Linked DNA regions of Diceros bicornis minor. The protein of the gene in region 1 purifies or fractionates together with the protein of each later gene. This does not show direct contact. Links are inferred from orthologs where the notes say so. Each region holds a gene or a part of one and is shown in the gene's direction. Other genes may lie near its edges. The genes, in order: SINHCAF, TNRC18, SAP30 and SIN3B.

Evidence for each region.
Region 2: the proteins of SINHCAF (region 1) and TNRC18 purify together in Homo sapiens (affinity purification with mass spectrometry; 3 studies listed by BioGRID and IntAct, counting the BioPlex papers as one, with this or other methods). This does not show direct contact. The link is inferred for Diceros bicornis minor from reciprocal best matches to the Homo sapiens genes SINHCAF and TNRC18.
Region 3: the proteins of SINHCAF (region 1) and SAP30 purify together in Homo sapiens (affinity purification with mass spectrometry; 4 studies listed by BioGRID and IntAct, counting the BioPlex papers as one, with this or other methods). This does not show direct contact. The link is inferred for Diceros bicornis minor from reciprocal best matches to the Homo sapiens genes SINHCAF and SAP30.
Region 4: the proteins of SINHCAF (region 1) and SIN3B purify together in Homo sapiens (affinity purification with mass spectrometry; 3 studies listed by BioGRID and IntAct, counting the BioPlex papers as one, with this or other methods). This does not show direct contact. The link is inferred for Diceros bicornis minor from reciprocal best matches to the Homo sapiens genes SINHCAF and SIN3B.

Annotation. Positions count from the first base shown.
Region 1 is NC_080756.1:32,379,814-32,388,222, forward strand, and holds the start of SINHCAF (SIN3-HDAC complex-associated factor), read left to right. Parts: upstream 1-5,239; 5' UTR 5,240-5,368; intron 5,369-7,556; exon of another isoform or gene 7,557-7,656; intron 7,657-8,409. UniProt on the Homo sapiens protein: Subunit of the Sin3 deacetylase complex (Sin3/HDAC), this subunit is important for the repression of genes encoding components of the TGF-beta signaling pathway.
Region 2 is NC_080765.1:9,768,904-9,776,808, forward strand, and holds the start of TNRC18 (trinucleotide repeat-containing gene 18 protein), read left to right. Parts: upstream 1-4,792; 5' UTR 4,793-5,185; intron 5,186-7,082; 5' UTR 7,083-7,328; coding exon 7,329-7,515; intron 7,516-7,905.
Region 3 is NC_080750.1:59,892,614-59,900,015, forward strand, and holds the start of SAP30 (histone deacetylase complex subunit SAP30), read left to right. Parts: upstream 1-4,058; 5' UTR 4,059-4,353; coding exon 4,354-4,674; intron 4,675-6,281; coding exon 6,282-6,407; intron 6,408-6,818; coding exon 6,819-6,917; intron 6,918-7,402. UniProt on the Homo sapiens protein: Involved in the functional recruitment of the Sin3-histone deacetylase complex (HDAC) to a specific subset of N-CoR corepressor complexes. Capable of transcription repression by N-CoR.
Region 4 is NC_080759.1:4,917,337-4,925,070, forward strand, and holds the start of SIN3B (paired amphipathic helix protein Sin3b), read left to right. Parts: upstream 1-4,368; 5' UTR 4,369-4,378; coding exon 4,379-4,483; intron 4,484-4,723; coding exon 4,724-4,830; exon of another isoform or gene 4,831-4,981; intron 4,982-6,118; coding exon 6,119-6,272; intron 6,273-7,633; exon of another isoform or gene 7,634-7,734.

The DNA of each region.
Region 1 (8,409 bases):
CAATATGTTTTACTCTCTGATGATACCATCTTATCTAACCACTGTCACAAATGCAATATGGTACATTGATTATCTCTGTTTCATCTGCTTTACTTTGCATTTCCATTTCTGGAACACTAAAGCACTGCTAGATTCACAATATATCTAGATAAACTATTAATGCTTGTATCATCTAAAACCTTGAAACCAATAACTCTTATTTGCTGATCTATGCCTCAATACTGCATTCTTTTTTTAAAAAATTCATGATAAGAATTCAAATTCTTAAAAATGTATATTAAAATTTTTTTTAATTAACTGTAAGCAAAATATCAAATTCTTCTAGAATCCTGGATATTTTATTCCCAAAGCTCTTAGAAACGGCGACCCAGCATGTTTCTTTGACTTTCCGTTTTATGTGTCTGCTTGTGCACTTGTTCATCTGTTGATGATGTGGCATGCTTGCCTTCAGTAATGAGATGAATAATTAGAACAGTGGATCTTCCGGGAAGTGGATTCCATGGCTGGGGGATCAATTTCTTATTGACATTTAGAAAAATAAATTTTCATAGAAGAAACACATGTTGATTAAACCAATTGTAATCTAATCATAGATTTTTGTCGCTGGGGTACTTTTAGCATGTGACTACTTCCAACTCAAATGTAGGTACTTCCAGATCTGTAGGGCTTAAATCCCGATTTCTCTTGGTCTCCAACACCTTACACTATCTTCTTCCTCAAACAGGATTCATGTATGACATTTATTCAATCAAAGACATGATTCTTCTCCTAGTTGTGCCTTTCCTCACCACCCCAAGTACTTTGGCTGTTTCTATGAATTTGTTCCTGAAGTTGCCACCGGTTCAATCCTCTTTCCATTTTTCAATTCTCCATCTAATCCTGCTGATAATTCAACTTCACTTCCTCAAAGATGCTTTCTCTTACCTCCAGATTAGATCAGATTCCCTTGCCACACATGGTTAGGCTCACACTACTTTTTTTAATTTTATTTCTCACAGTTTTTAATTATATTTGTGTGGTTATTTGGAACGCCTGCCTCCCACATTCCATGAAAGACTGTTTCTGCATTGTTCATCATTTTATTGTCAGAGCCTGGCAATTAGTAGATACTCAAAAGTATTTGTTAAATGAATGAATGAACAAACTCATGTCCAAGTTCAAATCCCATCCTCTCCAAAAAGACTTTCCTAACCTCTCCAGCCACAGTGATAAATCCCTGCCCAAACTTGAGGCACTTATTGTTGGTACCACTCATTTATCCCATGGAATCACAGATCCATAGAGTTCAATAGGAGTTTAGAGGTAGCAAGCTTTATACTGCAAATAACGTAATTCATTGAAATGAAATTCTTGGTTTTATTTTTGTGATACCATCATTAGTGATGGGCAGCTGCATTCTGAAGTATCCTGAACCCTCCTTGGACCATTTGTATGTCTAGAAATTTTTCTGATGTTTAGCAAGAATCTATATTCTTACGATTTTCAAGACTGATTTGGTTCCTAAGCATAAAAACACAAGCCCATTCGTTTTTCTAATGATGGTTCTTCAGATAGTCAAAGATTGCTCTCTTGCTCAATCAAAACACAGCCCCTCCTTCAATTATTGCTTTTATGCTGTGGTTTCCAGGCTCTTGCATCATCCTGATTTACTCTCCTGTGAACTCATTCTAGTTTGTCAATGTCCTTCTTAAAATAAAATTACTTTTGTTACCAGTAATTTGATTTTTTTATAGTATGCTTAAGATGTCATAATGTCATAAGATAGTATGACTTAAAATTTCTATAAATTCAGAGGTTACTCTTTCTAAGAATAAAATTGTGACAATTCTTTAAGTGCAGAAATTTGAAAAGTTAATTTTGATTATGTAATAGATAACTTTTTGCAGCAGCTGTCAACGGTTGTTGGAGGATTGCTTAGATCACATGTCCAATTCTATACCTTATAGCTTAAAATTATCTGATTTGCTCTGACTACTTGCTAGTTGAACATCAAAAGGATTTAAATAACACAATACTGTGCTCATTTTGGTGTAAGGAAAAGGTTTAGTTTTATAGCTATTACCTGTGAAGGAACCAAACCCAATATTTAATAATAATAATCAGCTCTTTCCTGGGCTCAACAAAAATGTTTTGATGTGGTTGGCACCAGCGTCTGATGAGGGTATCAGCCTTTATTTAAAAACAATCATTAGTTTGAGTTGTCATTACAAACATTACTAAATTGCTGATAATATCCTTCGTTACCAAGCAAGAATTGTCCTTTTCAGTCCTTTATATGTAATTCATCCTCCATTCCAAGAATATTATAATAAATTGTACAGTTGCTGACAATAGTTAAGTCTCAAAAGAAGGCAATAAATGCTACAGAAGAAAAAGTAGCAAATAAAATACAATTATATAGAAATAAATTAGAAGAGGTGAAGGGGACTTGAGCCCCTCCACTTCTGAAATGGTTTTACTATCTGGCACATAGTTATGATCATTAAATGTTTGCTAAATGAATGTAAAGATTCAAGCATTATGGATAATTCTACAGCAGGGACAACATGTTATAAGCAAGGTAGTTGGCTTATCCAGAGTATCTGGCAACTTATTTTCAATTTCAATTTCAATTTTTACTATATTTTCAATTTCAATATTTTTGAGAACTCAGTGTGAGTGCAACATAGCACTACAGTCATTAAAAAAAACCCTCAATTTTCCTAACATGGTATAATTCAATCTCCTATAATCCAAATTTATATATTATAAATTACTTCTTTTCTTTCTTCCTTTCTTTTTTTATGGTGAAAAATTCACTTGGGCTATTTAGATAATAGTATTTTAAAGTACCCCATAAATGAGCTATTGGCCCTGGAAAGAGCCAGCCACAACGACATGTTCAAGCAACCAAATGAACAAAAGAAACTTTGGAATGCACCTGGTTGTTCAAAAACAGCAGGGATTTTTTTTTTTTTTTAAGAGTCTGAAGAACTCAAATTTCTCGGATTTTGTTGTTACCTTTCCTACAAAAATTACCCAGATTACTTCTTGACCTCTACTTGGAGAGCAGAGGAAGTCTTGCTGTATGGTATTAGCTCGGTACCTCTGAAGCTTCCAGGTACTTTCTTATCTGAACAGTATATCCTAAATACTGTAATTCCTTCATTGCTTGCACATTTGAACCCATTCCATCCCTGGATTACAATATGTATCCTTCACTAAACTTTCAAGAGAAAAGGCATTCAAGGTACAGCTTTATATCTTATATAAATATATATATTTTTATATATATAAAAAATATATAAATATATCCAGTAAGCAATAATTGAAGTTTGAAAAATATTATACTTGCAATTTTCATACTTTCAAAAGCATATACTAATTTGAAATTATTTTTGGAGGATCTATCATAAACCAAACAAGTGCTCAGGACAACTTTTTAAAATTCTCTTCAAAAAGAAGAAAGTAAGAGTTTACGCTCAGGGTCCTGTTTGCCACCAATGAAAGCCCAGAAATAGTTATTAAGCCTATTCTGCTTTATTTGTTACAATAAAGACAGGCATCACATCAATCCAGGTGATCATTATAACTTTCAAACTCATTTTAGGTTCAATTCAAAAATTCTAAACTAAAGTAAAGCTGTTTTGATTTGAGATAAATCTATAATACATTTGAACATGTCCATTGATTTATTATTTTACAAGCAATTATTCAGACTCCATTATCTGCTGTGCCCTGTCTTAGGCACTGGAGTACAAAAATGAATACAATAGGAAATTCTTGCCCTTAGGAAGCTCACATTTTAGTGAGAGGCGTCAGTTTTTTCTCCTTTGCAGGTATTTAATATATGGTTTTCATATACAGTTACAGAAATAGTATGTTACAGAACCTAAAGAAAAAAAGCATTGGTTGAAAACTTCAGAAGTGGGTTTGTCTTGTATGTACTAGGAATCGGCTGTTGAATTAAATTAGTGTTCCAGAAGTATCTATTTAAATCCATATTGTTGACACTACAGTGAAAGCAGTGAAACTTGTCAGCAGATGATTAAGTTTTATGGCTGATGTCCACACTTTTGTAGCTTGGGACTAGTAAGTTTCTTAGAGAAACATCTTTCCTCTTTCCCCACCCTCCCGCTATTATTAAATCAGGGTCTCAGCCTATTGATGTGAGGTGTGTTTTTGGAATAAAGGTGTATCACAATCGTTTTTCATTTTTCACTTATCAATCTGAGAAGAGTTACTTCAGTTTTTCATTTTTTTTTCCCCTCCTGGGGCAAGAAGTGTTTAGATTGTTGGCTTATTACACATTCCATAAGGGGAAGTCTGCACTTCACTGGCTACTTCCTCAATTCCCAAGACCACCAGTGAGTGGTATTATTTCTGGGCGAGTGGAACACCCTTTACAAGCAGCTGGAGGAGGTATGCACGTCCCCAGATTACTGGCTTTCCACTGACTAGTCTTTAGGAAAGCGACACTGTTCCCACGGAAATTAACAACCATTCAACTCGACAGGCTTGTAATCTTAGGGCCGAAGTGAAGAAAAAAAAAATTGGATTGTTATGGGTTGGGTTACTGTTTGAGGATGGCAGGCGGGAGTTTGTGAATGGATAGAGTGTCAAAAAGGGACTTGATGAAATGACTCATTAAAACTGCACGAAAAATAAACCTCTGCTGGTCCCAGAGGATTTTTTAAAAAGCTTCAAAACTCAACTTCAAACACAATTTAGGAAAAGTGGGAGACGTATAAATTCAGTCTGGGTGCTTGCAAGATCACCTTCCCTGTCACCTCAGGCCAGAAACTGGACACAGGTGTGAGAATCTTGTAAAAACAGCTTTCAAAACTATTTTTCAACGCGAAATGGTGCGCCCTAAGAACTTCAGGGCGGATAGCACGTCACGCAGCCTAGCGTTGTCCCTGGGTTGCTAACCTTTCCGCCTTTCCCATCCCGCCACTCCCCCTTCGCCGCGGCCTCCAGCCAGGGGGCGTTTGTTTACGTGACGTCAGCCGTAGTAAGCAGTCCCCGCCCCCGTCTCCCTCTGGCCGCCGCGTTTCCCGCGCCGCGGCTCTTCTCCCCTTAAAAGGACAATAGAGACCTCGGGAACGCGCGCGGCCGCCGGGCCTTCTCCCCTCCCAGCCCTCGACGCGCGCGCCCCCGTATGCAAATAAGTTCGATTCAGGAGAATTTTGCACCGGGAGCCGCGCGTGCGCAGAGGGAAAGCGGAATCTACACCTTCCCGGCCCGCGGTAGCAACTGCAGAACTGCAGGAGACAATCTTTCTAGACAAGGCAGTTGAGGAGGAGGGAGCGATTGGAGGGGGGGTTGGCCTGGCGTGCATTCCGCACCTCGGGAACGTTCTTGCGCGTGGAACGGCTGCTTTTGGAAGGTGAGTGGCTCTAACCATGACTCGGGTGCAAAACTGTCTCACGAGGTTTTGATTTGAGTGTTTTTTTTTTTTTCTCTTTTTCACCTCACCCTCCTCCCCCAGTCCTTCCACACACACACATACAACACACACACAGGAAGTTTTGTCTTGGAGGTGGCATTGCTGGGGACGCTGTTTTCGTGATCTTCAGACCCCAGATGTTTTGTATACCCAGGTTTAGTGTGTCTTTTAATTGGGGAGGGTCTTTGAGGGAAACCGAAAGTCTTGGGTGGGGGAAGTGAGTGGCGCCTGGAGATGAGTGAGGAGTCGCTGGAGTTGAGGGATCCACGTTGAAGGTGACAATGACTTTTCTCAGCCGCAGTGTTCTCTGGCGAAAAGGAGCCCGGTGGCCCAAAGGCCCGAGAGAAAACGACTCGCTGGCAATTGCGGAGGGGCCCCGGGTCGGTGCACCCGCGTGGGCGCGCGCCCCGGGAGTGGTCGGCGCCGTTGTTGCACCTCGTGGTGGAGTTTCTTGCAGCCCCTGCGCGTGTTTTGATACGGGTGGACAATAAACGCCATTCGCTCGAAAACTAAGTTGCCGTCTACTTGCGAGCTGGCGGGCGGGAGGGGGTTTAAATCGGCCTTGGGGGTCCGCGCCGGGGTTTGCCGGAGTGCACGCGGCGTGGCGTTGTTTGCCCAACTCCGGGGGGATGCGGATGCGACAATGAGAGCAACACGCGGCCGCTCGGAAACGGCCCCGGCTCCCAGACGCCTTTTCCCCCGGACCGCGCCCAACAGCGCGGGGGTCCGAGGTGGCTGCGGAGCCTCAAGTTTTGCTCGCAATTTCTTCACCTGTAGCGTAGATGTGGGCGCCACGGCCACGGCTTGCTCGGCGACCGTGTGCGGCTTAAGATGGCCAGTCCGAGCCAAGTTGACTCGGGGATGGAGGCGGCGGCGGCGTTGTCTGCGCGGAAGGAGTGAGACAACTCGCAGGGCACTGCTTTTTGTGCGGAACATGACAGACCACGTGCTTGGGGCTGCGACCCCGGTTCTCGCCGGAGGTCTGGCTCAGTGTCCGGCTCCGGGTCAGCCGTGCGCTGCGGCCGCTGTCGGGGCCGGCCGGCCGGACAATGTGATTTGCCGATGATGGCGTCTTGCCAGTTTAAAAAGCAGAGTGAAAGTCGCCAACTCTCCGCTGGTGCGGGGCGGGTCATCTGGGCGTTTCTCATCAAGGACATTGCAAAACTTGGATGAAATGGGCCTGCTGCCGAGGGGAGGACGGGGCTCCGGGCTCTCGGGGCGCGGGGTCCGGCCCCTTCCCCGGGGGGACCGTCCAGGGTCTCGCCCCTGAGAAACAATCCGACATCCCCGCTGCTGCACGTAGGCAGCGCCCGGCTGGACAGAAAACAAAGAGCTGCATGTGCCCATGCGGGCCCCGCCGGCGCTCGGGGCGCAGCGCCGTGCGGGCCGGGCCCCCCGAAGTTCGGGCGAGTTTCAGGAGGGGCTTTTGTCCCTCGGCCCGTCGCGGGGAAACTTTGGCGGCGCTGCGGTGTGAGGTGCCATGCTGGTGCGCGGGGAGGCGGCGTGCTTCCGCGCTCCGGGCGGGCGGGAGGGCGCGGGGGGCGGCGGGCGGGGGCCCCGGCGCTGCGGCGCAAACGCCGGCTGCCGCGACGCCGGGGGGCCGGGCGAGCGTGGCCCCGAGTCTCGGCCCGTTACCCGCAGCCCGGAGCCTGTGTCTGGGAGGTCTGTGGCCTCGCCTTTGAAGTCGAACTGTTGCCATGTTTGAATTACGTCAGGGCAAAGCCATGAGGAGGAACAAGCCTCGGCAGCGCGGCGTGCGGGAGGCGCGGCCTGCGGGAGGCGCCGGGCGGGCGGGCGGGCGCGGGGGCCCGTTGTTCCGGCGCAGGTGAGGGGGGCGGCGGCCGGGGACGCGGCTCGCCTCCCGCCGCCCGCGCCCCGCGAGCAGCTCTCCACCGCAACTTTCTCCCCGACCCAAGTTGTTTTCTTTACCAACACGTCCCCCGGGGAGCATTTGCAGTCGCTGCCTTCTTGCCTCTCTCGCGGCCGTCACCGCGTGCCCGAGGGACAAGCGCAGTTCGGGGGGACCCGAGGGCGGTGGGAGGACGGGGGAGGCGTTTTGCTGCTTTCGGGGAACCCGGCGAGGGCGACGATCACCCTTCTCCCCCGCAGCCGAGCCGTGGCCCGGACGTTCAGGGGACCCTGCCCCGACGACACCCGAAAAACCACCGTGGGGAAGTTTCGGGGCTCCCTGTTGTCCTACAAAGGGAAGTGAGGACTGTGGCCGAATTGTGCGTGCTTTTTTCTTTGTGTGGACGTGTGGGAGGGGGAACCGGGAGGGGCGACGTTTGTTTTGGTTGCTGGGGGTGAGGTGGGGTGGTTTCTGGGGTGGTAGGGTGGTGCAGTTTGTGCTGGTAACTATGACCCTAGTAGGTTTCTTTGTTTTTATTTTCTCGCTCTAACCTTCGGTGACTACAGGCACTCGGAAGACTAGGAATTGCCGTTTAGCCAAACATGGACCCTAGGCGAGACAGTTTCACCCCAGCAGTCCTTTCCCCCTGCTCGTCACGTTGTCCTAAGGAAGGTTAAGAAAACTCCCCCCCCCCGTTTTTCTTTTAATAATTAAAAAAATGAATTTGACCTTGTCATTAAAAGTATCCCGAAAGCACCTGTTTTTGAACTGGAGTTTGCCAGACTTGAAAAGGCTTTCAATAATTTTTGTTGCAAAACCGAACAGTTTATTACTTGCTCAATCTAAATTAAATTAAAAGTCTGGGAGTTGTCTCTCGTGGAGTTGGAGAAAAGCCTGATGGCATTTAAAGTATTTATATAATGATTTGGGGAAGGGGGATCTTTTTTGGCCCTAGAGGTATGCCTGGCTCGGTATTTGGTAATTGTTCACTGCGTTATCTCGGGATGACCTTGAAGAAGCTAGCCAAAAGGGAGTTGGGCCTTGGAGATTTTTATGGGGGCAGGGAGGAAGCTGCTGGAGGGGATGACACAAGGTAATGGCTGGCTATCCCTGCTAGCTTCTTCCTAGTTCC
Region 2 (7,905 bases), on another chromosome or scaffold:
TGCCTTCCGGGCGCGGCGCCCGCAGACACCCTGCTTGGTGCTCTCCGCGTAAAACAAGCCCCCCCTCCCCGCATCGTGCGCCCGCAGAGGGCTCCAAGGGCAGAACGATGGCGCGGGATTAAGACGGGGTCTTCGGAGACCCCGCGGGGCAGGGCGCTGAGTTCTGAGAAGCCGCTCTGACCCGGACCCTGGCGTCGCCCCTCGATGGTGCGAGTGGCCTTGGAGTTGGGCTCAGGCAGGTGGTCGCGCGCCCACCCTAGCCTCACCGAGCCTTCCCAGGAGTAAGTGCCCGGCTCAGCACCCCTACCCCAGGCGGCGATCCGGTGACGCCCAGGTTGCTTCGGGGTCCGGCGACTGCGGGGAAGGATGATGGTGGCACCGAGTCGATGGGGCCGTTCCCTCTCTTTGGCGAACGGGGGAAACTGCTGGCCTGGCTCCCTGCACAGTCTCAGGGCCCCCAGGCGGTGACCGGGAGAGCAGGGCGCCCGGTGCGGCCCGGGACGCGAGGCTGGCCCGGAGGACCCGCGCGTGAGCAGCAGGAAGGAGGGCGCTCGTGGAGATTTATGGCCGCTGCCGGCTCTCGGCGCACCGAGCTCGTCTCCGTCCTCTCCGAGCCAAACAGTGGAGTGGAAGACCCGACCCGGGCCAGAGGAAGAGGCCAAGGCCGGAGGCGGAGCCGAGAGGCGCAGGGATCCGCTGGGGCCGGGCCTGGCGCTTCACCCCTGGTCTGCCCGCCGTGATCCCTGATCCCCGTGGCGTGCGGCGCTCTCGCGCCGCGTCCCTGGTCTTTCTGGCGAGTCGGGGCCGCTCTCGGCTGGGCTGGCCGACCCTCGGCTCGGCGCCGAATCGCGGCTGAACCAGTCGCAGCAAGGGGACGGCGAGCATGGTTGTCCCGGGCGCGGCCTCTCCGGGTTTTAGCAGTGCCCGGGCCGGGAGCGCCATGGTTCCCGGACCTGGAAACTGGCGCCTAAAAGACGCGGCCAGGGCTTCCCGAGCGGGCAGCAGGGGCCGGCGATCGCCCGAGGTCCCCTTCACCGAGAAGCTGGCGGAGCGCGGGGACTTCGGTCCCCACCGGGAAAGGCTGTTCGGGTGACGGGTGGAGGTGGCTCGGGTGTCCTGACCTAGTAAAGGATGATGGTTTTTTTCGGGGGGAGGGGTATGGGGAAAACGTGTCCACGCAGCCAGCAACAGTGGGATTTCGGAAAGCGCCGGGTTCGGCCCTGAATAGAGCAGAACTGACCAAGGCTCGGGGGCAGAGCCCGCGTGGCGAAGGCGCAGCCGGGCGCAAAGTTGGCCTGAACTTTGGTTTTAAAACAAAGGGGAAGAATTTTGTCAGTCGGGCCGCGTCCACGGAGTCAGAGAACTAGGAACACACAAAAGGCCTCTGCTCCGGCGGCCCAGGCTGGCCGCGGCTGACGGCGCTGGCCTGGGCGGGTTCTTCGGCAACTGAGGTCTCAGGGTTGCCAGGTCCCCCATCCAGCCGATTTTCCGCCCAGTCAGTACGAAAACACACACATACACACAGTGCGTCAACACACTCTTTCTGGCCACTGATCCCGCCGGTAAACAAGCGTGTGGGGGGGAGGGGGACGGAAGATGGCGGCCGGACCGGGCGGACGGCGGGGCTGTTCCCCGCTCCGCGCAGGGCTCCCAGGCCCGGTTTTCACGTTTAAATGCGGCTCACCAGAGCGGGGACGGCGTTTCCCCAGACCCCAGAGCCCAGCGAGGAATGCCCCAGAGGCCCCCTACGAAAGGCAGGGGTCTCCGAAGGAGCACACCCGCCACTCGGCTTGGGATCCGTCCCCCGCCCCAAGATGGCTCCCGGCCGCTGTTTACCCGCGACTGCGGGGGCACCAGGGTGCTGGGCCAGGGAGGGCGCGAAGATCAGGGCGCGCACCCTCAGCACGCTTGCAGCCCGGGGAAAGGTGCGCTCTGCGCGCCCCGCCCCGCGGCCGGGAACGGAGAGCCACCGCCGCATCCCCAGGCCCTGCGCCCCGGCTGGGCTCTGGCGGCGTGGGGGCTCGAGCGGTTGCCGGGGTGTGTGTGTGTGTGTGTGTGTGTGTGCGCAGGGAGGGGGGCGCACGGGGGCTGGGGCCCACAAAGGCCGGGGACGGGGGGTGCTGAGGGAGGGGACCTTGCCTGCCCCGAACCTCGGCCCTAATGAAATGCAGGCTCAGTTGGCCACGCCGACAAGGAGCACACTTGGAAAATGCAAACGCCATTGGCAAATCCAGGGCAAACAGGCAGAATTTTTATTAGCAACTAAATGATTTATGGCACACATACCCCGCCGTCACAATTACGGCGTCTTGGAGCATCCAGGGGTGAAAACATTAAACATTTATAAAAATAGGCTTTTGTTTTTTTCCACCCCTCAAGCCCTTTGTATTCCCCACCCGAACTCGCTCAAGATACATTTTTTTTCCTTGAGCTATATTAAAGTAAAGAAAAACATTCCAGATCCAGGGCGGGGATAATGGAGTGAGGGATCCGAGTCTGGGCTCCGAATACTGGAGGGCAACCAGGGGGGTGGGGAAGCGATGGGGGCCGGCTGTGGGAGGGTTTACTAGGAACCCACAAAGGCCTCTGGATAAGACTCGAGGACGCTCGGCGCCCACCCGGGCTGCGCCCCCACGCACGGCCCCTTTCCCTGCCTTGGCTTCCAGCGGCCCCGCGCAGCTCAACTGCATTTATTATATTCCTGCAGTCACCCCGCCTCCCCCAAGGCACACAGACACAATACCTCCTTTCTCTAACCCCCTACTCCTCTCCGTCTTTGCTCCTGGCCGTCCCGGGGCTGCACCACCGCCCTGGCCGCTACTGAGACCCATGCGCCCTGCTTCAAGCGCGGACACCGCCGCTCGTTCCCCTCGGCTTCAGCTATTTTCGTTCCTTTCTTTCCTTCTCACTGTTCCCTCCTCCCCCCGCGGAGCTCCAGCTTCCAAAAGAGGGCAGCCTAGAAACCAGCGCAGGAGGCTCCAGGAAGGGCAACTTGAAACTGCCCTCAAGAGGCCGAACTTTTTTCCTCAAATTTATACTGGAATTAAATTAGACACCCCCAGTTCACTCTCGAAGCCTACCTCCCCCTTTTTTTTTCTAAAAGTGGAGAAAGGAAAATAGAACGAATGGGCGCTAACTAGCTCATTTTTTTCCCTTCCAGAAAAGTTGCCTTAAAAATGTCTTAAAAAAAAAATAGAACGAGCGATGCGAAAACGCTGAGTCCGCATCGCGAGGCGAAAGAGCGGGCTTCTCTTGTTTTTAATTAAAATCTAATCACCGCGGTTGCTCTCCGAGGCAGGATCGGCAAGGATTTCTGCCCCTCCAAGCTTCTTTTTGAGGGTACGTAATGCCTAGCCGGGCATGGGTTCCCGCGGGGCTGCAGAGAGAGGGTGCGGGGCCCCCAGGGCGGCCCCTCTGACCGCGTCTGCACTCCTCGCGCCCGCAGCCAAGAAGGTTGCCGTGGGCAGCTCCCGGCGACTCAACCCAGAAAGGATTTTGCTGAAAGCGCAAAATAAAAGTACAAAGTCTGGGGGATTGGGGCTCCCCTCCCCCTTCGGCCGCCGCGGCCAGCCAAGCACTTTTTGGGCTTGGCCGCTGCTTCCTCTGAGCTCAACAGATTTTTTTTTTCCCGGTCTCGCCCTCCCTGGAGGGAGCGCGGCGGATGGAAGGCGAGAGAGGCCCCCAGCCAAGAGGTTTTTAATATTACACTTTAATAGGTTTCAGAAGGCCCCGTGGAGAAATGCTAATAGGCTGAAATGTCAGAATCGAGAGGGAGTCAGTTCGCGCTCAGCCGATCTAAACCTTTTTTTCTGCTCTGATTTTTTTAGGGGGGAGAGAAGGGGAGGGGAGCGCCCACGCAAAGAGAGCTTTGGGGAGGGGCGCGCTGTGCGAAGCGCCGCAGCCCCGGCCCGGGCCAAGCAGGGGGCGCGCCCCGGCCCGCGTTTCTATAGGAACCCCTTTTAGAAGATTAGAGACTCACCCGCTGCCCGCCGCCGCGGCCTCTCCAAAATATTAATCAGTAACCATCTGACACCGCGTTTCAGGGAGGGACCCGCAGGCCGGGGCTAGGAAAACGGCCTTCTCGCCTGCCCATCCCACCCAACCGCGCTGCTCGGGAAGAGGGAATGAATCGCTGCTTTGTTTTAAAAGGGAGGGGGGGAAAAAGGGAAAAAGCAGCCCTTGTCTGTTTTGGCGTCTCCGCCGCGCGTTCTAGAAGGCGCGCCCTAGGGGAGGTGGGGGGCTGGGGCCCCGGAGTGGGGTACAGCGCGCCAGGCCCCAGGCCCTTCCCCGGCCCGCTCGGCTTGTCACCTCCTCCTGCGAGCAGGAAGCTGACAGGCGGCCCATTAAACCGCGCCTTGCAAAGCCCTGGATTGCGGCGACAACCATCTTCCTCTATTTTGATCGCTCAGCCCAGACGCTGGGGGAGGAGGGGAGAAAAAGGGAGGAGAAGGAGGAAGGGGGGGTCCGAGCTGGTGGAGGGGGAGGGCTGCCTAGAAACGGCCCGGAAAAATTCTCACCACCAGTTTTGATCATTCAGCCCCGCCGAGGGGAGCCTGGAAACTGCTGGAGCCCCTTGGTCCGTAATTGGTTTTATAGGAATGGCTGAGGGCCAAGGTGTTTACATGCGCGTGATTGGCGGCGCGCGCGGCCAATGAGTGGAAGCCGGGGGCCGGCCTGGGGGGGAGGCGGGCGCCGGGGAACAATGCGTGTTTCTTCGCCGCCCGAGAGTACTCCCCTCCCCCAGCCGCCCCTTCCCCCCCGCGCTGGCTTTTTTTTTTTTTTTTTTTTTTTAGATCCAGCGAGAGGAACTTGAAAGGGGGGTTGTGTAATGTACCTTTTCCAATCCCGGGCTGTATATGGAGATTTGGGATTCTTTAAACCGGCGCTACCTGGATTTTATTAAAAAGCGGGGAGCTCGGCGGGAGGAAAGCTGGCTTTTCCGGGGGCTGCGGGAGCCCGGCCGCGGGAGGGCGGAGGAGTTGGCGCGCCGAGCGCTCGGCCCGGGGAGCGGTTTTCTACCAAAAAAAGGAAAGGCGGGCAAAAAGTGTGAGGCGGCTGCGGGTGGCGAAGGGGAGCAGCGGCCGCGGGATGGCGGGCAGCACGGGCGCCTAGCCGCGCCGGGAGCCGGGGCCGCCACGGGAGTCGCCGTCGCCAGAGCCCGGACCCGGGAGCCCCGCCGCGCCAGGTACGCCGCCGGGACGCCCGCCCGCCGCTGGCCGGGCGTGATGGTCTCCAAACTTCTCCAGCTGGTCCTCCATCCTGCCTCCCCCTCAGGGTGCGCCGGGGATCCCCGCAGTTCTCCGACCGCCGAGAAGGGAATCGGGGACCAGGGCCGGCGAGGTGGGGGCGCCCTGGGAGGGGTTGGGGCAGGCCGTTGCGCCCCGGGCGCCCACCTGAACCCCCAGCCCCGCTCCAGCCCGCCCAGCCGGGCCGAGGGGCGTCGGTTCCCTTCTCGGTTCCCAGCAGGCGGCGGGGGAGCCAGGGACGCCGAGACGTTTTCGATTATAGGCTGTTTTTAATTAAAAGCCGGAATTCAGCCATTTTAACTGCATTTAAGAGGGGGAGAAAAGTAGGGAGAACGCAGCGGAGCCCGCAGATGGCCGAGCCAGCTTCTGCCGGAGCGAGGGTGTTTCGGGGGGCTTCACCCCGACTTCCCCGAAGTGGGGCGCCGGGGCATGCTCCGAAGCGCTGGGTTTTAAAAGAAAGCTACATAAAGAACATTTTTTAAAAAATCACGGAAAGCTCATCGCCTCCTTAGGACATGTATCCTCGGATGTGGCGATCTTAGATTTTTCCAAAGTAAACGCGGATCTGGTAACGAGAGCCTGATGGGAGGGAGAGAAGGAGGGGGTGTTTGTAACCAAAACCGGGTAAAAATAAGCACCCTTAGCAAAGTTGGAGAAGGAGGCTGGGGGGTTTTGGGCTGAGGGGGTCGGCAGCTCGGGGGGCTGGGCTCCGCTCGCGGGGTGCAGGGCGCAGGGCGGGCACCCGGGAGCCGGTGGCTTTGGCGTGATCCAACGCTCTAGGAGCGTCCGGGCCTCCCGGAATCAGGCATCCGAGCTGCTGCGGGCAGACGGAGAGCGAGGGCGGGATTGGCTCCGAGACCCCCCCCCCCCACGGGAATCGGCAAACGACAAATCTTTTAAACAAACAGCTTTAAACTGGAACTGCAGGGGGATTTACCCAACGCTGGGGAAGGCGCCCCTCGGTCGGCCTGCGCTGCGAAGCTCTCCTTTGTAGGTTATTTTTGGGGTTGGGGGGAAGCTGGGGTAGGAGCGAGACCCTTGAGCCCCTTCCTTCCCCTCTGACGCCCCCTAAATCCCCCGCACCAGGCCACGTCCTCGGGCCGCAGGATTCCCAGGCCAGGGCGTTGGAAAATGAAACCAAAGCTTGTTTTGAAGGATTCTTGCCAGTCCTCGGGCGAGAATGCCACGTCTCGGGGCCTTGGACCTAGACTCTGCGACTCCCAGTGGCCCAAAGGGGGCGGCAGGAAGGAGCGGCGAGTCTCCTTAAAAATAACAAGCTCGCTTTGCACCTCTCTTCCGAAAAAAACCCCACGAATTTGACGGCTCCAGGCGAGCTCGGGGAAACCAAACTCAGAAAAGGGAGGCGAAGGCCCGCAAAGGTTAAATATTAAACTTTCCGGATCAGGCAGTGACATAGTGTTTAGAGAGACATTTCAAACTGCTCATGGAAAGGTTTTACGGTTTGAAACCCCGGAGCATGTGACGCCGACAAATCAAACCTACTCGGAGGTTTGTATTTATTAAGTCCGGGCGCGGCCGAGGGGCCTTCCCCAGCTTCGGGAGGACGCGTAAGCCGCCGAGGCAGAGTCCGGGCAGGGGCGCAGCGCGCCACCGGGCACTTCTGAGTCGGATCCCCGGGAGCCTCAAGCTGCCGGAGGAAGGAACATGGATTTTTACTTTTTATGGAAAAGGGGCTACTCTCGATTTCATTTCTGGCCACCAGATTGGCAGCCCCCGATCCCGAACGTTAAGACGACTTTCTGAAACTTGTTTCTTTTTTTCCCCCCGTTTGTCCCCTTCTGTTTCTTCCGCGGCCCGTCTCCTCTCTCCGCCAAGACGCCGTGTGCGCTGCCTTGCGCAGCTCCGCCTGGCCGCCCGGAGGGGCCCCACCGCCAGCCGTCTGTGCGCCCCGGGCTGCGGGCCCGCCGCCGAGCGCAAGCCCCGCTGGCCGCCGCCGCCATGCACGCCGCGGAGCCCCCGCCGCCCGAGGACTCTGGGACTACGCCGAGGCCGAACTTTTAGGTCCCACTGAGCGAGGCCCTCGGGCCGGGTGGGGGGCTGGCCGCGGCACTCCCGCGGAGGATGGATGGCCGAGACTTCGGGCCCCCGCGGTCCGTGCACGGCCCCCCGCCGCCGCTGCTGTCCAGCCTGGCCATGGATAGCCACCGCGTGGGTGCGGCCACGGCCGGTCGCCTGCCCGCCTCGGGCTTGCCCGGCCCGCTGCCGCCGGGGAAGTACATGGCCGGCCTCAACCTCCACCCGCACCCGGGTAAGTGCCCTGCGCTATGCTCGTCCTTTCCTCTCCCTCCGGGATCTTGGGGAGGGAGACCTGGGAAAAACTACTCGGCCTGTCCCAGCCATTTGCGACGGGGACGCGGCGCCCCCCTCTCCTTTAGCCGGTCCAGGGGAGTGCAGGCAGGCTCAGCTCCCGGGGCAGGGAGACCCCTGGGCTCAGAGCAGAGGCCAGTACGGAGGCCCCGGCGGAGAGGGGCGCGCGGCTCGCTGCCTTCCCAGGCGAACCAGTCTCTCCCAAGGCGCACGTGTCTGGCGAAATCGGAGCCACTAGGGACTATTCCAACCCTCGAGCCCCTGCGGCTCGAGCTTGGGCTGGAGTTTTTAAAATCTGGGCAAGAAAAGAACAAACCAGCCCCACATCCTT
Region 3 (7,402 bases), on another chromosome or scaffold:
ATGCACTTTTTTGGTACGCTTGCTATATTTTAAACTAGGTAAAAGAAAGCATAGTGTAAAACAGTGTGATCCTTAGCTGAAAAAAAACATATATATACATACATACTGGTATATGCATATAATTTTTTTCTAGAAGGAAACAAGAAATTGTTAACATTGCTTGCTTTTAGGGACAGGGATTTGAGGAGATGAGGGGAAACAGGCTTCTGTTTTTCATATTGAACCTTTTATTATTTGAACTTAAAATCATGTTCATATTAGGATTATGGGCCAATTTGGATATTTTTGTAAGTTAAAATTTACAATTAATTGTTTACATTTAATTTTTTATTTAAAAATAAAACCAGAAAAATTCAATCATGTTAAAAGCCTTAGAGAGAAGAAAGGCAGGGAAAAATACTTTTTAAAGAATCATATTTTGAATCTTTTCAGAAAGCAAAGAATATTTTGATGATATCAACAACCCTCCTATAACTTAGGTTTCATAAATCTATATTTCCATATTATCTACTCTGAAGTACATTTATAATGAAGCTAATGGATGTAAAGTTCATAGTCCTTCACTTGGACAGGCCTGTACCTAATTTTGCATTCTTAATTTTATATACTTTTTCTTAAAGACTCAAATTTTATGAGCTTGAAGCTTCCCAAAACGTGGTTCCAACCTTGATTGTAAATTATTCTTAAAGCAAGGAATTCTTACCTGCCCTGGATATGAAGAGTTGTAGAAATAAACAATGAACCACGGTTGTTATGAAAATTTCTTTGTATGGACAATAGATTCACAGAAGAAATACTTTAAATCCGGCATGGAGAATTTACATGTCATCTACTCCAGGAATGCTTTTTACTTGCCAGAAATGAATCATTTCCTCCTGTGTGCTAAGTCTCTCTAATTTTATTGAGGAATGTGTCTTTGTTTGGGCTGCTATAAAAAAAAATACCATAGACTGGGTGGCTTATAAACAAAAAAAATTTATTTCTCACAGTTCTGGAGGCTGGGAAGTCCAAGATCAAGGTGCTGACAGATTTGTGGCTGGTGAGAGTCTGCTTTCTGGTTCATAGACTGCCAGTCTTCTCACTGTGTCCTCACATGGTGGAAGGGATGAGGTTGCTCTCTGGAGCCTCTTTTCTGAGTCTCAAATCCTATTCATGAGAGCTCCAGCCCTCAGGGCCTATTCACCTCCCAAAGATCCTACCTCCAAATATCATCACTTGAGGATCAGGTTTCAACATATGAATTTTGGGGAGACACAAACATTCAGTCTACAGCAGCATGTATCATGTGCTTGTTAAGCTACCCATCTCCCCTACTAAACAGAGAACTCCAAAATGGCTAGGACCCTCTCCCAATTAATTTTGTATCCCCAAGGCCTAGAAAAGATCCTAGTATGCAATAAAGGAGAGTTTAATTGGACCTTTTATTTTTGTGTGTGTGTGCGGAAGATCAGCTCTGAGCTAACATCTGTGTCAATCCTCCTCTTGTTGCTGAGGAAGACTGGCCCTGGGCTAACATCCGTGCCCATCTTCCTCTGGGACCCGCCACAGCGTGTCCTGACAAGGGGTGCGTCAGTGCGCACATGGAATCTGACCCCGGGCCATGGAATCTGACCCCGGGCCGCTAGCAGCAGAGCACGCACACTTAACCCCTACACCACAGGGCGGCCCTAATTGGACCTTTTGAAAAGACTGTATTGTATGTAAAGAAAGCATATAACTACAATTCATCACTTTAGTAAAATTCATATGAAACTGATACGTAACTAAACCATACATACAGTATATACATGAACTAATTTGATCACATTTTGCAGAAGATAGATTATAAACTTTTAAGGGCAAGAACCAAACAATAATTATGAATTATTTAAAAAATACATAAAAGTAGAAAGAAAAAATGAAAATCCAACAACCCAATATCATATTTGTTTCAGATGTTTTTTTAATAAAAAAAAACTTACAAATACCATAGAGACCACCTTTGATTCCCAGATACTATCCCTTGGCCTCTCTCCTTAGAGATGACCACCACCCTTGGAGCATATCCATCTCTTCCACATGCTCTCATTTTTACCATTTAAGAAAATATATTAATAAACGATAGTATTATTCTGTTTTAATACTTTAAACCAGCATTATCTAAGACAAATATGTGAGCCACAAGTGTAATATTAAATGTCATAGTAGCCATATTTAAAAAAATAGAAACAGGTAAAATTTATTTTAATGTTATATTTCATTTAACCCAGTATATCCAAAATATTATCATTTCAACATGTAATCAATATAAAAATTATTAATAAGCTATTCAATATTCTTTTTTTAAAAAATTTCTGGTACTAAGTCTGAAATCCCCTTGGTAATTTATACTTACAGCACATCTCAATTTGGATTTAGATTTAAATTTAGATTACATAAAATTTAAGTTGAAAAAACAGATTCATATATCCAAGTTGTTCCAAATATACTTAAAAGTTTTCCAATAACTGAAATCAGTTTTTAAAATTTAAGTTAATTAAAATTAAATTAACAATTCAGTTCTTCAGTTACAACAACCACATTGCAAGCGCTCAATAGCCACATATGGCTAGAGGACACCCTATTGGACAGAGCAGCGTAAAAAGATAACACAAAGTACTTACCATTCAGCGCTTTTCTTTTGCTTACTCAATTTACGTAATATTTTCTTTCTTTCTTTTTTTTTTTTCCTTTGCCATAGCCTAGAACCGAAGCACACAGATGGAACGGGTGGCTTTAAATTTCAGGGCAGATGACATTATACGTTTAAAAAAAAAAAATCGTCTATCACTAAATTTACTCTGTAAGTCTACAGGAACTTGCAAAATAATACTGCTTTGTATTTTTGTTCAAACAATGGGATTGTTAACAGCATATATCTACCGATAAATAACGACGCAGCGTAACTAGCACAACCGCAGCATTCATATTAGCCGCTCCCATCCTTCTACCCCGCCCTCCACAAGCACACGTCCACATGCACGCACGCACAGACACGCAAACGCGCACACATACACGTACATGCACACATACGCGCACACACATACATGCATACACATACGCATGCAACACAAGCGCACACGCGCGTGCGGACCACCGAGGAAATGTGGCTTATTTCTCTCTTCTCGCTTCACAGAGCGAACGCTGGGGAGTTTCTAGGAAGCACTCAGGCTAACTCGGTATTTGTGGGGTTCCGCGTCCCCTTTTAAATGATATTAGACTCCGCCTTTCTCCAGGTTCATTCGAGGAGAAACTGAAAAGATTGGGGGTGGAGGCGAAGAGAAGCCCTGTTACAGTCAACTAGTCACTAGCTCCACCTCAGGAAGCAGCAGACTTTGCGCCCGCGAACAAAACGCGTTCCTTGCAGGAACGTGCAAGGATTTAGAAACGGCCTTTAGCGGAGGCATCTGGAGGGCGAGAGGTCGGGATGGGCGTTTTCCCGTAAGCAGGCGCTCTGAGCAATTTGGTGCGTCAATGAATGGAGCTGCCAGCCAGATGTGGAGCTAGCTGCCGGACCTCCAGGACCCGAAGAGCGCCAGGTCGCCTGAGTTCTCTTTGGTTTGAGTTTCCCACAAAAACATGGTCGCACCAAAAACTCTTTTTCCACAGATAGAAAAACGGCCCCGAAACTTTTTCCCACACGCTTATTCTCCTCCCCCCGCATTTTGTGCTTCGCCTCAGGAGTTGAGTGACCTCTTTGTCTAGAATGCCACCTCTGCAGAATCCCAGGAGCTAAACACAACACAGCTCCCCGGGAGAGATAAGAAGAGAGAAAACAACGCAACCACAACCACACGCCCCTATTTTCCCCGAGCTTAAAAAAGAAAAAGGGGGAAAAAAAAAACCCGGCCCGCCGTCGCGCGATGCATGCTAGGATAAGTAGTTCCTCCAACCCGCGACGCGCGGCGTTAAAGCAGAGCTCAGGTTGACTCCCCTGCAGAGAACTACAATTCCCGTGGTGCCCTGCTGCAGAGAGGGCGGGAGAGGGCGCTTCGCGCTTGCGCAGGTCGAGCAACCGGAGGGAGGCGGAGGCGCTGTGGTCCAACTGCTGAAGAGTCTCCATGTGACAGTGAGTGGGGTCCCGGCTCCAGGCGCCGCCCGACGCTAGTTCCCGACCCCAAGCCCTGTCCACTGACCCGGCATCGGCAGACACCAGCAGGCCGGGGACACTTGGTGTTGTGCTGTGCTGTCGGAGGACTTGAGGTGCAGAGTGAATTGCCGCCGCCGGGCAGGTGCCTGAGGGACCCCGCCGAGACCCCGGCGTCTCTGGAGAGAGAGGGAGCGGCGAGGCGGGCGAGGATTTCTTTCAGCGCCGGCGCCCCTGAGCGCAGAGACATGAACGGCTTCACGCCGGAGGAGATGAGCCGCGGCGGGGACGCGGCCGCCGCCGTGGCCGCCGTGGTCGCTGCCGCCGCCGCCGCCGCCGCCGCCTCGGCGGGGAACGGGGCCGGGGCAGGGGCCGGGGCTGAGGTCCCCGGCGCCGGGGCGGTCTCGGCGGCTGGGCCCCCGGGAGCGGCCGGGCCGGGCCCCGGGCAACTGTGCTGTCTGCGGGAGGACGGCGAGCGGTGCGGCCGGGCGGCGGGCAACGCCAGCTTCAGCAAGAGGATCCAGAAGAGCATCTCCCAGAAGAAGGTGAAGATCGAGCTGGATAAGAGCGTAAGTGACTACGGGACTGCCCTGCCCGCCCCCTTGGGGCTCCGGGAGCGGTGCAGACGGGGGTTGTTGGGCGGGGGTTTCAGGGGTCCCCCCGGACCTGGTTGCAGTGCGAACACGTTGTGGGGTCTCTGGTAGGAAGCAAACAAAGTCGCTGCAACTCCGACCGCCACCCCCAACAGACACACGCACACTTGCACGCTGCGGTTCCGCTCCTCCCCCCATCCCCCCCGCTCCCTGCCTCTCCCGCTCTCTGTCTTCCCCTTCCTCGTCCGCGGAGATCGGGAAACGAAACAAAGGGGACCGCCCGGAGTAGTTTTCTTGCAGCCCGGCAGCGCCTTCTGGAATGGAGGCGCCTTCTTTGTTTTGCTGCCCAAGCTGGCGTTTGGCACCAGGGAGTAGCTCCCCTCGTCTAGGGAAAGTGGAGTCCCGCAAGGACCTGACCCCGCAGTCAAGCAAGATCCCGCTCCTCGTTCCCCCGAGCACGGAGTGAGAACGAACCCGAGCTCACCCGGCGCCTCGCAGGGAGCCAGGACTGTGAACTGTGTCGGCGGTGTCAGCATCTGGGGCTGGGGCAGCCGCTCCGAACGTGCGGAGCACGTAGCCTCTGCGGGTTTGCCGTCCGCCGGCAGCCATCAGGATTCTTTTCCGTCCTTTGCACGTCTGTTCTTTTGATCCTCTAAAGAGGTTTTTAGAAATAACCATTGCCAGTTTTCGGAGCTCTGCCTGGCGGTAAAGGAATAACAAGATGTCAGAACCTAGCACACGCCCGGCATATTTTTAACTTGCACATAGCTTAGAAGTTAATTTAAAAGCCTATTAGCTCGGTCTTTAATTGGTTTTTAAAGAGTAACTGTTAATGTGAAGCTCCGTGTTTCAGATGTTACTATACAGCTCTCAAGACTATATGTAATGAAAGTTTTTGAAGAGTTTATTTGTGATACTTTCTGCCTGTTAAAACAGTTAGTTCTTCGGTCGTGTTCATGAGAAACTTTTCAGGTAAATTTGAATGATTTCACATTGCTTTGATTGGAAAAACGTAATACAGATAAGTAACATTTAATACTCAGAAAAGTTTATAATTCAAATTTAAATATAGTTAGAATATGAAATCAATAACATTTGTAAAAATGGATAGTTCTGTATCTGGATTGTAATCGGAGTATTAAGAAAGATGAGGAAGCATACATTATGCTACTAAAATATGATCTTTAAGTAGAAAAAAATACTATCAAATAGCGAAATGGTGCGCAACATCATCTTTCCCCTTGTTATAAAACAGGATGACCTAACTAATCTAGTTCACCTTCACTGTAATTTGATGATTAAATCCAGAGGGTTGAAATTTCTCATTCTCCTCTACCTGCCTCCCCTCCTTTACTGTCACCCCTCACCACTCTACCCCCCAATCCTCTTAACAGTGTTGTAAGACTTAGTATGTTTTAGCTGGGTGCAGGACTTAAGAATAGAAAGAAACATGCCATTGTCTTAATGGCTTGTTTTGACTGTTGTTTTTATTTTTAATAATTCACTGTGGCCTATGTATTTTACTAAATATATAGAAACATTTTATTGTAATCATAAGTAGTCTGTGAAATTTTCTGTTTCAGGCAAGGCATCTTTACATTTGTGATTATCATAAAAACTTAATTCAAAGTGTTCGAAACAGAAGAAAGAGAAAAGGGAGTGATGATGATGGAGGAGATTCACCTGTTCAAGATATTGATACTCCAGAGGTAGATGCAAGTTTTTGGATATTAAATGTAAATCCTAAGTAGTCCATTCTGAAACTTTTATAAAAAGATATTAACAAATTTTTTAAATACTTAAAGCATTTGAAAAATCTGAAAATGAAAGCAAAATTAAATATAGCCAGTTAACATGCAGTTACACAATTTTACTTGTTATATTTTCAATTGACACCTCATAGCTGCGTTGTCTTACATCTTTTTTTTGCCCCTAGTTTTTACTATTTATCCTCAAAAGATTAAAGTGTTTAATACATTTTTAGTTTTGATTGTATAAAAAGCTTTTTTAATAATGGAATCAAGTTTTTATTGTGCTGAAATTGAAATGTTATTATACATATTAAAGATAAGTTTTTAACAGATTCTGTGAACTAATTCACGTATGTTAATTTTTTCTAGGTCGATTTATACCAATTACAAGTAAATACACTTAGGAGATACAAAAGACACTTCAAACTGCCAACCAGACCAGGACTTAATAAAGCGCAACTTGTTGAGGTATATATGAGTTTTAAACTATTTAAACTTTAAATGAGCCTGTTCATGCAAAAAGGGTCATTAAATGCTAATGAAATTGTTAACGTAGTGTATATAGTAATATATTTTAGTTAGAAAGATCAAAGTTAATAAAAAATCTATTGTGGAAGAATCTAGTTGCCTAGAAATGTTTGCACTTAGAAAATTCCTTTACATAGTGACTATTCAATGGATTGTGTGTAGTTTTCTAAGCATATTCTTTTTTTTTTAAAGTTTTTTTTTTTTTTAAAGATTTTATTTATTTTATTTTTTTCCCCCCAAAGCCCCAGTAGATAGTTGTATGTCATAGCTGCACATCCTTCTAGTTGCTGTATGTGGGACTGTGCCTCAGCATGGCCGGAGAAGCGGTGCCTCAGTGCGCGCCCGGGATCCGAACCCGGACCGCCAGCAGCGGAGTGTGCGCACTTAACCGCTAAGCCACGGGGCCGGCCCTCTAAGCATCTTCT
Region 4 (7,734 bases), on another chromosome or scaffold:
TTTTCCTAATTAGCCCTAAAACCTCTTTTATAGCTGTTTCTTTCAAGTAGGGTCTAATTAGGATTTGGTTATCTCTTTAGTCTTCTATTCTAGAACAGGAGTCGGCAAGTTACTATCTGCAGGCCTACTGCCTGTTTTGTGAATAAAGCTTTATTGAAACACAGCCATGCCCATTCACGTACCTATTGCCTATGGCTGTTTTCATGCTACAGGAACAGAGAACGTATGGCCCCAAAGCCAAAAATATTTACCATTTGGCACTTTACAGAAAAGTGTGCTGACCCTGATCTTAAGGTTTGATTAGATTCAGGGTAAAGATTTTTTTAAATAGACTTTTTTAGAGCAGTTTTAGGTTCACAGCAAAACTGAGCGGAAGGTACAGAGATTTCCCATATGGCCCTGCCTCATGCATGCAGAGCCTCCCCCACTACAAGTGCTACATTAGTTACCCTTGATGAACCCACATGGACACATCATAATCAGAGGGGAAACATTTGTGACAAGGCTACTTCATAGGAGTGTTAGTTGCCTATTACTGCATAACAGATGACCACAAACTCCACAGTTGAAAATAACAGCCATTTATCATCCCACAGTTCCCGTGGGTCAGGAGTCCAGCCACAGTACGGCTGGGTTCTCTGTGCAGGGTCTCACAAGCTGTCATCCGGGCTGGAATCTCATGGAGAGGCTTAGAAACCCCTTCCACGATCACTCAGGTGGTTGGCAGAAGTGAGCTCCGTGCAGCTGTAGGACTGTGAGCCTCAGTTCCCAGAGGCTTCCTCTCTCCATAGGCATCTCCCCACACAGCTGCCTCCTCCTTCCAGGCCAGGAGGGTCACACCTGTCTGCTGCTGCGAGGCTCTGACCTCAGACTGTCTTTTAAAGGGTTCCCCTGATTAGGTCAGGCCCACCCAGAATAATCTCCCTTCTGATGAACTCAAAATCAACTCATTTGAGACCTTAAATACACCTGCAAAATCCCTTCACCTTTGCCATGTGGCATGCCCTAATCTCAGTCCAGAGTGGGGGATCAGATAGGGCATGCACACCAGGGGTGGGACTCTCTGGGCCCATCTTAGAATTCTGCCACAAGTCGTGATTCTGGGCTTTAGAGATTTTTGTCATAAAGCTTACCACCTGAGAAGACTTAGATTAGTTCAAAATAGGATCTTTTGATCTTGTCCTCTCAACCTTGCTAAAATACCGTCCAACGAAAGACCTACTTGCGAGTCTTATCTTAATGCCATTAAATCTGTGAAATGGTAAGGAAATTTGTGTTCCAGTTTGGTCTATCCAAACTGTCAACTCTAAGGTGTTCAATTTAATCTGTGTAGATGAGAATAGTAAAGGAAAAAATTCAACTTAGCAACTTTTTATGCTTTATAAAAATAAGAATGAAAAATGTATGTGTACCATTGTCCACATGTTGAACACACACTCACACACACACGTGCATACACACGTGCCCACAGGGAACTGGCTTGTGGTTTCCTGTTCTCCGAATGACTGAGGGCTTCCTCTGACCATATGAGATCTATGGAAAGTATGAAAAACTGACAGTGGTCCTTGAAATTTGAACAGAATCCACTCCTTGGGGAAGGGGGGCACTGTTGTGAGGACCCTGTTGGCATGTCAGATGCCCACACAGGCCTTTGGTCCTCCAGGACAATGACTGATAGGTTGCCAGGCAGAGTTAGTGTGAAAAGGACTGTCCAGACATCTGGTGGCCTCAAAGGGTTTGGGCCACCTTAGCTGCTGTTCATATGGGAATGCGCTGAAACTAGGGAGGATTCCTCCCTGGGCTGGGAGCCAGTATCATGGATGCTTCCTTCCCCTCACCCCGCACATTCACCCAGCACCACATCATTTCTGCTTTACCTTCTAAATATCTCTCTCTTCCATCCCCTCCTCTCCACCTCCACTGCTCCCTTCCTGGTCTAAGCCACCAGCATCCTTTGCCTAAAGGATGAAACAGCCTTCCTGCACCGTCCCTGGCGCCCCTCCCATCACTTCCCTGCAGAGCAGCTGGAGCATTCGCTTCTACATTCAAAGCTGCTCACGCAGCTCCTTGCATTAAACCCATGCGGTTTCTACCAGCGCTAAATGCCAAGACCAAAAGCCTTCACTCGTCCCAGAAGGATGAGTGGACTGCCCTCGCTGGCCCCTCCATGCTTATCCTGCACCCTCTCTCTCCCCTTCCCATTCCTCTGCAGTCTGAGAACACTGGTCTTTTTTTTTTTAAGTTATTCACATGTGCCAAACTCCCTCCCACCTGAGGGCCTCTGCACAGCTGTTCTCTCTGACTTTTCTCATGGCGAATGCATATGCATCCTTCAGATCTCACTTAGAATGCCACCTCCTCTGGGAAGCCTTCCTCATCCCCTGCTAGACTGGCTCAAGTCCCCCGGGTGGCAGGTGCTATTTTCCAAAAATGGTCATGGCAATATTTCTTGTCTCCCATACTATTCCAGAACCTGGCCACGCCCCAGGTTCTAGAGTCTGTTTGCCCTCCTCTTGAATTTGGGAGGGACTTTGTAATGGTCATTATGCAAAGATTGCAATGGAGATGATTCTGCGTGACTTCCGAGGCTGGATCAGAAAAGGCAACGTGGCTTCCACCTGGCTCACTCCCTCCTCGCAGATGACTGTTCTTGGAACCCAGCTGCCATGTTTTGAGGACACTGGGGCTGCGTGAGGAGGCCACATGTAGGTGTTCCCGGCAACAGCACCAGCATGGGTCTCAGCCTACAGCCAGCAGCAACTGACAGAAAGATGGAGTGAATAAACCTTCAGAAGGCTCCAGTCCCAGCCACCCAGCTGACACCAAGGGGCCAGTGATGAACTATTCTTGCCAAACCCGCCCAAATTGCAGATTGGAGTGCAAAATGAACGTTGTTGTCATTCTAAGGCTCTAAATCTGGGGTGGTTTGTTATACAGCCATAGTAACTGGAACATAGTAACTGTTACACTTGTACTTTCTCTTTGAAGTGTCTGTTACAGTTGAAGCTTTACATTTGTGTGTGTGATTATTTGATTCCTCTCCTTCTTGAAACACTGAAAACTCTATGAGGGCAAAAGCCTTGTCAGTTTTGGTTACCATTCTATTCCTGACAGCCCAGCACAGCGCCTGGCAGATGATGCACTCATTGCCAGTGTACACTCAGCTTTCCTGCACCTCTTCACATACAAAAAGAGATGCCATTTTGTCATGGATTGAATGTTCATTCCTTTAATAAATGCTCACTGATGTGGCTCTGTATCAGGAATTTGTGTTAGAGATGAAGCACAAAATGCAGGTGATGTACAAGGAACTGTGGGAGGGCAAAGGGGGGCTGGGGTAGCTTCCTGAAGGTGGGGACATTTGGGTTGTGTTTTGAAGGATGTTTAGGTATTTTCTGGGTGATGAAGAGATAGAAGAGGGCAAAGGAAATGGTATGTGCTGATGCATGGGGCCAGGGAGCAGCCGGGCTGGGCAGGCATTGGCAGGAGGTTCTGCACAGATAGGGAGGGCAGCTTGCTTGGGTGGGAAATTCTGCAAGAAAAAATTCACAAGGGTCAGGTTCTTATGGCCTTCAGTGCTGCGTGTAGGTGCTTAGATTTCTCTCACAAGAAAAAGGAAGACCTTGGAGGTTTGGAAGCAGTTGTGGAACGATCTCAGTTCTTGACAGCACTGGGGCTGGGAAAACCGGTGAAGAGGCTGCTGAACTGGTCTAGTGGGGAAGCGACGGGGTCAGGACGAGGGGAGTGAAGACAGGAGGAGGCAGACTAAGTCAAGAGCCATTCAGCAAAACTTCACCGCGCAGGACCCTATGTTAGGGTGCTGTGTGCTCATACCCCATTGTCACATCAACCCCATAAAGCACAGGGTTTTTCCACGCACTGCATAAAAATGTCCACAAACGTTTTTTAGTAAATATATCAGGCTCTGCAGATCTTAGGGTTTGTCACAGCTATTCACCCTGCTGTTGTAGCGCAAAAGCAGCCAGAGATGATAGCATGTAAACGAGTGGGCGTGCCTTGTGCCAATAAAACTATATTATACAGACACAGAAATTTGAATGTTATAGAACTTCCAAGTGTCACGAAATAATGTCTTCTGGATTTTTTCCAACTTAAAAAAAAAGTAAAAACCATTCTAAGCTTGCTTGCGGGGCCGGACAAATGCAGGCAGCACGTCTTGCTTTGCCCAACCGTGCTGTATAAACCGCATACCGCATTAATCAGTATTTCGGTTTTAGGGGCAAGATCCCACAGCGAAGTCCTCAGGAGCCCCGCCCCTCCTTAAAGTCATCAAGCCCCGCCTCCGGGGCAGAGCCTGCGCATGCGCAGCCGGCCCTGGGGGGGGGGCGCGGAGCGAGCCGCGGCTCCGACTTCCAACATGGCGCATACTGGTGGCGGCGGCGGTGGCCCCGCGGGCCGGGGGCTGAGCGGCGCCCGCTGGGGTCGCTCGGGCTCCGCGGGCCACGAGAAGCTGCCGGTGCACGTGAGTGGCGCCCCTGCCCTCCCGGGGGGGATCCCGTTGTCCGGCCCCCCCAGGCCGGCGCTCCTCACCCGGGCCCCGCCCGGCCCCGCCTCGGCCTCCCCTCTGGGCAGCCCGGGACCCCGGACCCCCGGACCCCTCACCTCGGGCCTTCGGAGGCCTGGCCTGACCCCCTCCCCCCCAGGGACCCTCGTTCCTTCCTCCGCCGACCGGGACCCACTGGGACCCTCCCTCTCCCCGCAGGTTGAGGACGCCCTCACCTACCTGGACCAGGTGAAGATCCGCTTCGGCAGCGACCCTGCCACTTACAACGGCTTCCTGGAGATCATGAAGGAGTTCAAAAGCCAGAGGTACCGGCGGGCCCCTCCCTGCCTGGGGGGCCGCCCTAGGCCGCAGTCGGACCGAGCCGGCTGGGAGCCCCCAGCCCCGCTGCCCCCAGCCCGGTGACCTTGCGCAGGTCGTCGAACCTCTCGGGGCCTCCGTTCCTTCTAGAAAAGGAGATTGGAGAGGCCCCTCCCTCCCTCGTGGAGCTGCTGTGGGGCTTCCTGGAAGAAGGGCAGGGGTCGGGGAGAGGCGACGGAGGCGGGTCCAGCAAGCACAGGGTCGGATCCCATCTGTAACTCAAAATGCTGATTTTTAAATGAATTTTGTTCATCAAGAATTTTTTAAATTAATTTTGATTTTTTTCCACGCACTGTATTAAAATGTCATTCATCTTGATTATTGAATGTTTTGGCTCCCTCTCCCCCTTAAATCTTATCCCCAAGATGAGTGCCTCCCTTGCCTCACCCTGGTATCAGGCCTGCTGGAAATAATGTGCATAAAACGCCCGGTAAGAGACCTGGCACGTAGAAAGGATCAAAAGTACATTAGCTGTGTTTTGTAGGTGAAGAATCGGTAGGTTTAGAGATAGACGGGGGACCTCATGATCACCCCCTTGTTTGACAGAAGGCTCACTGAGGCTTAGAGTGGGCCAGGGGCTTGCCCTGACCCTCCTTAGGGGCAGAGATGGCACTGGAACTTGGGTCCTCTGGCTCTCAGGTTCTCGACTGTCACGTCCTCACCATGGTGCTGCCCTCTTTGAGGAAATGTGGCAGGGTGGCTAGGGTTCCTTCCGCAAGTGGGATGCTAAGGCCTTGGGTCTTGACTGCAGCCATGAAGGCGACCCCTCTCTGCCCTTGCATTCTTACCAGACTCCACGCTTGCAGGCTGTTTGGTATTTATGTGTTGCATTCAGTTGTTGGGATCAACTCCTGTGGCATTGTTGATCCCTAATTCGTACGAAATGAAGGAATTTATCACATCACTTAGAAGGCTTTGGCCTCCTGCCACTTTTTGGAGTCCAGGACTGGCAGTTGCACTCCTGACATTTTCAGAACCAAGCTCATGTGCTTGGAGTGTTTGGGGAAGCTGTGTGGTGTAGATATTCTGTGGTTCTCGCCAGGAGGGCACAGGGAGCCCAGGCCTGGCTGCTCTCATGTTAGATCACTGCCCGCAGAATCCTACCAGTCACATTTTAGGGTGCATCGTGCCCAGTCCAGAAGCTGGTTACGTGGCACCGTCAAAGGAGTCGGGAGTAGATTTCGCTTGTAATTTGCTCCGCAAGACACTTTTGCCCACTGCTGTTCTTTGTTCCAGCATCGATACTCCTGGAGTCATCCGCCGCGTCTCACAGCTCTTCCAGGAACACCCTGACCTCATTGTCGGATTCAACGCCTTCCTTCCCCTCGGGTACAGAATTGACATTCCGAAGAACGGCAAGTTAAACGTACAGCCGCCTCTGTCGAGCCAGGTATGCAGCGGCAGTGGTTGAGTGACCTCGGCCCTCACGTGGCCATGCTGGTACTCAGGTCAGGCAGTGGGCCTCATGTGTCTCCTTGCCGGAAAGCTGGTGAAGAGCTGATGTTTTTCTAGGCGTGCTAATCGCTTCTAGCACAAATAGATCAATAGATCAAAACACCGCCACAGGCAGCCTCTGCATCCCAAATTGATCCTTTTGGAGGGTTTAAATGTAGAGTGGATGTGTTTGTGTGTGTCAGGGAGGCATTCTCCTCACACAGTTTTATGTCCAGTCAAAATAACGGTATCCACAGTCGCCAAGGGCTTGGCTTGAGGCTGTCCTTGTGAGGGCGCTAGGCAGGCCACGCTTGTGCTTGGGCATGTGGTCCCTCTGGTCACCCTCCATGCCACGCACAGAAATAAAGCGGTTGAGATGCGTGTATGAATGACCGTTTTTATTTTTGCTGTGCTGCCCGCCCCGTGGCTTAGCGGTTAGGTGCGCGCGCTCCGCTGCTGGCGGCCCGGGTTCGGATCCTGGGCGCGCACCAATGCACCGCTTCTCCGGCCATGCTGAGGCCGCGTCCCGCATACAGCAACTGGAAGGATGTGCAACTATGACATACAACTATCTACTGGGGCTTTGGGGGAAAATAAATAAATAAATAATTACCAACAGGGCGTTTGGCTCAGCTCAGGTTTGTAGCTTTGGTCCTTCTCTCTTGGGTGACAGCTAACCTCTGTAGTCCCTTCTTGCTTGATCTCACCAGACCCCCTGAGAAAAAGAACGCCTATTTGAGCTTTACTTTTCTAGGGTAACCATTTTTTTTTTCTCCACCTCGGCCCTGTTGCCATTTCAGGCATAATGTTTTGCGGCAGTGGGGCGGGGTGGGAGTGAGGGTGGTGCGGGCTGTCCGTTGCCGTAGGGATGTTTAGCAGCATTCCTGAGTCCACACACTAGGCCCTCACCCAGTGGGGACAGCCAAAAATGTCCCCAGACATTGCCAAGTGTCTGCTGGGGGCAAAATCCTCCCCCCACCCCCAGGGGTTTTAGCAGAGAAGGTAAAAATCTATGCAGGAAGCATTTTGCAGGTTTCTCCTCTGCTGAGGACGGTTGCAGTGTGTATCAATGAGGGAGTCAGGATTTGGAAATAGAACGGTGAGAGGCTACTGGTGCCTCTTTGAGAGGGACTTGCATGTAAATTCTGCCTTTTCTCTACGCAAGGCAGGCGCCACCATCAGCATGCTGTGTCATTAAAGCAGAGGAACGCATCTCGGTTTTAAAAGGAACTTTGAAGCGTGCAGCCATTGAATTCCAAAGAGCTTCCATTTCACGTTTGCAAATGGAGCCCCAGGATCCAGATGTAGGGACAAAGCCTTAGCAGGATTAGTCTTCGGCATCATCACAGCTGGGGGAGGAAACCAAGCTGATGTGCAGCAGCGTGCCGGGCACACTGGGGGGCCTGAGGCGCCCGTAA